Linked DNA regions of Rattus norvegicus. The protein of the gene in region 1 interacts with the protein of each later gene in a pairwise test. Links are inferred from orthologs where the notes say so. Each region holds a gene or a part of one and is shown in the gene's direction. Other genes may lie near its edges.

Region 1 (4,291 bases):
CCAACCTCTGCTCTCGTGGCATTTGCAATTTAAGAATCAACAGCATTGGGGTTGGGGATTTAGCTCAGTGGTAGAGCGCTTGCCTAGGAAGCGCAAGGCCCTGGGTTCGGTCCCCAGCTCCAAAAACAAAAAACAAACAAGAATCAACAGCATTGTGGTTGGGGATTTAGCTCAGTGGTAGAGCGTTTGCCTAGCAAGCACAAGGCCCTGGGTTCGGTCCCCAGCTCTGGGAAAAAAAAAAATCAACAACATTGAAGCAATTCTTTAACTTTAAAAGGAAACCTGGTCTGGTAATTGTTTTAGGACCTAGGAACCAGACCCATGTTATGGAACGATCCTCACCAGCCTTGAAGGCTCTTAATCCCCACAAACTACCTTGGCTGGATGCAGCCTTGGATCAGGGAAGCCTCTCTGGGCATCTGAATCATCACGGAGATGCAAAGGTTATTACCAGGGTTAGTTTGTTGTCTCTTGTTTTGCAAACAGCACAACAGAGCTTCCCCCACCCCACCCCCGCCCTCCAGATCAAGGCTATTTATTTCTAGTGACAAGCCTGAGGATCCCAGGGGGGTTGGCCTCAAGGACCTGGATGGGCCTCATGTCCCTGGCAGGCGCCAGTCCTCCCTTCCCGAACCAGGGTAGAAGCTGGAGGGTCAGAAACTACACAAGTTCCCTCTCTTCTTAACCACCCCTGCCTACACCAACCCAACCCCTCACATTGTTCACACACCCTCTCAAGAAACCCAAAGCCAATGGGACCTAGGATTAGGGTCTCCCTGAGCCTGAAAGGTCAAAATTATTCCTGGGCACTATTGAAACCTCAGTGCCAGGACACAGCTGAAGATGGGGAGGCTGTTGCCTGGGCTTTCGCCACTCGCTTATAGAATAAAAATCCTTTGAAATTGAGGAGGATAGAGGCTCTCTCTCTTTAACCCAAGTTTTTAGAAAAAACAAAAAAAAACAAAAAAAAAAAACAAACACAAACCCTTGATCTCCACTGGTAAGTCAGAATCAAAACCACGCCTCCAGCAGGCTGGATTAAGGCCTCTTCCCAAGCTAAGGTTTAGTGTAACATCTGGGGATGAGCTAGAGGGAAAAGAGGAGGGGGTCTGGTCCCCAGATGGACTCTAGCTAAGTCCTGGAAGCCCCGTATCCCTGGCCTGGGATCGCTTCCAGAAATCCCCCGGGGTCGAAGGGGCGTAGAGGGCGGGTCAGGCTGCAGGGGGCGAGCAAGGAGTGGTCGAGAAGGTCAGAGCGCCAGATTCGCCTGGGCTGGGCTCGCGGCAGGCAGGAGGGGGCGGGGTCTTGCCCCCGCGGGCGGGTTGGGGGCCCGGGGGCGGGGTCCGGGCGGGGCGGGCCGGCTCACTTCCTCGGAGGCTTAGGGCCGCGCGCCCACTCGCCCACACAGTCTGTCGCAGCAGGCTACCTCGCCGCGGCTCTCTCGGCCCCCTCGGCCCGGCCCGCAGGTAGGAGCCGCCGGGAGATCGGCTCCCGCCCCACCCACGCCGCTCGCGCCCAAGCTCCCGCGCCCGCTTCGAGGTGAGAGTCCCCCCACCCACCCAGCTTCCAGCCCCTGTTTCCGCGCTGCGTTCGGACCAGGGTTGGCGCCCGGGCCCCCACCCCTGTCCTCTGCTGGGGCATCTCGAACACGGGATCCCGCGCGCCTGCACGGACCCCACCGCTCCGCGCCTCCCGGTCGGGCAGGGACCGCCCGAGTTGCAGGGGATTGGGACCAAGTTTGAACTAGAAAAGCTTTAGAGGTAGCGGGGTTGGAGAAACTGAGGCTTTTAAGGAGTCTGGTAGAACAGGGAAGGGCGCGCGCCCCAGGAGGCTACCCGGACCACACCAATGGTGGCTGAGAATGGCCGGATAAACTTCTCGAGGCGCTGCCGGGGACCCGGGTTCTGTGGAGCAATTTAAGAAGCAAAATGTATGACCCCAGGGAACTCATTGCTAGCGCCCTTCCCAGGGCCTTGGAAGGCCCCGAGGCTGGAGCTTGTTAGACTATGGCTAAATCTGCCTCCCTGAGGCCTAAAGAGACTCTCAGGTGAGAGACACTGAGACGCTGAGAGACCAAGACTTGGATGCACAGGGACAGAGATCCTCAGAGTGGAGGCCCCACTAGGACACAGTTTCAGAGATACAGGAACACCTTCACCCCAACACAAAGACAGCAGCCCAAGGGTACCGAGAGGTATGGAGTGGAGGCTAGAGTTCACTGAGGAGAGACACCTAGTGTATTCACTGACAGCTGCCCCAGGCCTGAAAGGGTGGAGGCAAAGCTAGGGGGAAATTGAGTCTTAGCCAGCCCATCCCCCAGGAGGCAGAGGACCTGAGGCTGTAACGCTGAGCTGAAGAAAGAGAGCCCCGTACAGCCTCTAAGACAGCGCCAACTTATTTTTAAACTCAAATCTTGGACGCTCTGCCTCAGCCCTAGGGGACTCTGGGGTGAATGAAATGTTCCTCTCCTGTCCTCAGAGCAGCTGCTGGATCCGCTCCCTTATCCCCTTCTCCCTAAACTGCTTGACTTCCAGGCCCTGTGGGCAAGAGGGGCGGTGGAGAGTTTGGGATTGGTGCCTGGTTGGGGGACAGGGAGAGGGAGGGTTAGAGGGGGCTCTAATTTCTCCCCTAAGTCTCTTGTCAAGGGGGAGGGGTCTTCTCTAAGTCTGAGTCACAGCTGTGGGGTCTGGCCAGGGTCCTCGTGGACTTGGGATATGTGGGGGAGCGGGAGGCGGGGAAGGGGGGTATACCAAAGGGTTGAGCAGTTGGCATGGGTGATTGGAAAGACTTCTGGGTGTCTTCCAATGGCAGGTTGACAGCTGGGGAGGAGAGCCAGCCCCGTCCTCCCCTCCCCCCATGACTGCCCCTTCCACCACTATCATAGCATTTCCAGGCAGAGCTCTCCACTAAGGGATAGGTCACTTGTGCTCCAATTGCTGAACAGTCTCGGTCATGCCCCTAGCCTGCCCCTAGTGTCTTGTGCTGAGCTCTAAACGAGCTATACACTCTGTCCTGCCTTTTGGTGTGCGGCTTGTAGTGACCGTGGGGTATGTATTGTGTAAATAACAAGACATCGAGCAAAGTGTGTGCCCCCGGGAACTACCCACCTGTAAGGTCTTTAAAGTTCCCCCTCCTCCTGTGTCCTGCTGACTGGTCTCAGTGGTTCCCTGAGACTCCTGAGGTCACATCCCAGGCCAATTCCCGCTTCAGGCCTGCCTGAGACCCACCGTCTGACCCCAGTAGGAGTTGAGGGGCTTGTAGTAAAAATACAAGTGACTACCGTTTACTTACATAAGGCTACAGACTTATGACTGGCCAGACACTGTTCTGGGGATTGTCACATTTAAGCTCAACAGCTGTCTTAGGAGAGGGAGGTAATAGTATCTCATTTAACTAGATGGACAGTCTCGGGGCATGTAAACTGTGTACCCAAGGTCACAGGATTTCAAGTCGGGTTTATATTTTGTGACCCAAGCAAGCTGTTATACACTGGACACCGTACAGAAAGATATGCTGCCACTCTGCTCTCGGAAGTTCACTGGTGTGTGTGTGTGTGTGTGTGTGTGTGTGTGTGTGTGTGTGTGTGTGTGTGTGTTCAGTCAGGCATGGAGATATGTGTGTTAGTGGAAATAGCAGATTGGGGTCATCTGGAAGACCCACTGTCTCCTCTAATCTACCCCCCTCCTAACCCCCTACTCCTCCACCCCCTTCACCTCCTCACCCCCCTCACTCTCCCACCCCCTACCTGCTACCAGGAATACAGACCATCTCCCAGCTCACCTTTCTAGTCCTCCAGCCTTGCCAGGGATGGGGGTGGGGTGGGGGGGACTGGGGAAAAGACAAGTGGGCCTTGGTGGTGCCCTTCACTCTGTCCTCATTAGAGACATAGATTAAGGGATTGGGAGATTCTGGGAAGGAAGCAGAAGGCACACCCATGCCCTATTTGGGGTGCCTCATCTCATTGTGGTGACTGGCTCTGAGGGGGTGGATCCAGGGCTAGCCTGGACCTGGGAAGGTAGCTGCTGCCGCCAAGCCCGGAAGGAAGGGCTCCCAAGTGGACTCACGGCCACAGACCACCTGTATTTGCTGTTGTGGCTAACAGCCCAGGCGATCCTCAGAGGCTGGGCCAGAGGAGACCAAGACCTGAATGACGGTGGGGGGAGAGAAGGAGAGGGAAGAGGAGGTTCTCTTCATCCTTTAGCATAACCCCTACCTGAGGACTCTCCCCTTTGAAGACTTCAGCTTTGGTCTGTCCAAAGCTTTGGTGTGTCCTGCTTTGGTTGTGAACCAG
Region 2 (2,234 bases), about 30 Mb from region 1:
AAGAAAACAAATAATTTGTAAGGTAGACGTGCTCTGCTATTTCTGATAGCGAGATGTATTTTTTCCTGGAATGAATCTAACTAGGACAACTTGAAATGCTATAATGTTCTCCATCCCTGACCAGGGTGTGCGCTCTAGTTGTCTGTCTCTCCTCCTGCAAGTTCTAATTTCCTTCACTTTTGTATCTCCTAGTACTTACCTCACAGTAGAAGCTCCATGATTTTGTTGAATGAGTTTCTGACTGTGGGTCTGTGACTCTGTTGAAGTGTGGGCAGTTTCAGCTGTGCAGGTGAGGGTGAGGGTGCAAGAAAAAGGTGTGACTGACTGTTCAGGCCTAGGAGATTTCATCTGGGCCAACAGGTGACAGCAGGAAACCTCCCTACTTCACCCACAGAAGCGGATGCAGCAGATCATGTCCCACTGCTTCCTGGCTGTCAAGTCCAAGCTGGAGTGCAAGCTGGGTTACTTTGACCTCATTGGCTGTGATTTCCTGATTGATGAAAACTTCAAGGTGCTGTCTTGGGAAGAGGAGGTCTGGTAGGCAGGTGTACGGAGGTAGGGCCCTTCTGTGCGTTGAGCACATAAGGGTACCCAGTGGGTGGACTCAGCCCTAGATTTGGATGTATGTGTGAAGCTGGTCTCCTACTGGAACTGAGCAGCTCTCAAGATCAGTCTTAATTCCTTGAGCAAACGAGGGGAACAAAACCATGGAAAGATACAATCCGCCCAGAATCCCATGGCTTAATCGGGACCAGAGTCCCCACCTTCTTAACGGCCAACTGGACAGTAGGTGGGTAGAGAATGAGGCTGACCACTGTCTGCCACAGGTGTGGCTGCTGGAGATGAACTCCAACCCTGCCCTACATACCAATTGTGAAGTCCTGAAGGAGGTGATTCCTGGAGTGGTTATGGAGACCTTGGGTGAGCTCTGGGCAGTCCCACACCACAATTTCCCATATACTTTTCCCCAGTTCTGGGTACCCCATCCTATTTGCCTCCAAGTTCAGACTCAAGTCTGGCTTTCCAGCACTCCATAATCTGCATAGCAGCCAAACCCTCTGCTCATACTTCTGTCACTTCACCCATCTACATCCAATCCCTCATGAACCCCTCTCCTCCTCCCTTGTTTCCAGACATGCTGAGAGGTTGCTACCTCCAAATTGCCCTCTCACCATTCACCTTGTCGCTCCCCTGCCTTCCCACAGACCTGGCGCTTGAGACCTGCCAAAAGAGTTTGCACAGTCAGAAGATGCTGCCTCTGCAGTCACAGCGTCGCTTTGTGCTCCTTTACAATGGCGAGACTACAGACTTGTGGCCGCGCTTGGGGAGCTCACGCCCACCTATCCGCTTGCCTTATGCTAACTCTAACCATGCCCGGTCCACCTGCGAAATCTCATCCTCTTCGCTTACCTCAACACGTGTCACTATCGCAGACCGGCCTGCGGCACGCAAGTCGATGTCTTCCAGAACAGCTCCCATTTGCGCCTCCCGCAAATCGCGGCTGTCTGACTCGGGCGGTGTCTCCATAGAGGAGTCTGAGACCTCTGTTTGTTCTGGGCTCCCGGAAGGCAGCAGGGACGCAGCCCGGGAACCCTCCCTGGGGCCAACCGAGGAAGAGCGAGAGGAGGAACAGAGGAGCACGAGCCATCGAGGCTCCTAGCAGCCACAAGCATCCAGTGGCCTTGCGCTTTGCCATGCCCTCTCCAGGACCTATAAAAGCTACTTTGTGACAAATGCGACCTCCAGAAACCGATCCCATATGGGTGCCCCAAGCTCTTCTGTCCCCACTTCTCTCTTTGCTCCTTGATTGTCCTTAGAGGAAGGAGAGGGGAGCAGGCAGAATGGGAATGAGTTCTTCAGGAAGGGAAAAACTCCCCTGATCTCTTTTTCCTTCTCTGGGGCAGCCCACCAAACCCTGGGTCCCCGTTTGTGGCTCTCTGTTACTCATTCTGTAGGAACCTCCTAAAACTCCATGGCCTTCTTGACCTCTGCAGTCTAGCACTAGGACCCACCCACTGTTCTATGGAATCCCTAGGAAAGGTCTTGGATGCCCATGGAACTCTGGAAGGCCCCACCTTACCCCATTACTATTCTGGTGCAGAGCGGGAGTTTGTCCTTATCCTGCCCAAGACCTATCTTCTGGACTTTCAGACACTTTGTGGAACACTGTTTACAGCCAAAGCCCCCACTTCCCTACAAAGGCCTGGAGTCTGTCAGGCATGAGAGGCACAAAG

What was found.
Region 2: the proteins of Fhl3 (region 1) and Ttll10 interact in binary tests that used the Homo sapiens proteins (3 or more experiments, as listed by UniProt). The two-hybrid records come from large-scale screens. The link is inferred for Rattus norvegicus from reciprocal best matches to the Homo sapiens genes FHL3 and TTLL10.

Annotation. Positions count from the first base shown.
Region 1 is NC_086023.1:142,237,299-142,241,589, forward strand, and holds the start of Fhl3 (four and a half LIM domains protein 3), read left to right. Parts: upstream 1-1,491; 5' UTR 1,492-1,539; intron 1,540-4,291. UniProt on the Homo sapiens protein: Recruited by SOX15 to FOXK1 promoters where it acts as a transcriptional coactivator of FOXK1.
Region 2 is NC_086023.1:171,911,871-171,914,104, reverse strand, and holds the end of Ttll10 (protein polyglycylase TTLL10), read left to right. Parts: intron 1-394; coding exon 395-511; intron 512-827; coding exon 828-921; intron 922-1,205; coding exon 1,206-1,660; 3' UTR 1,661-1,734; downstream 1,735-2,234. UniProt on the Homo sapiens protein: Inactive polyglycylase.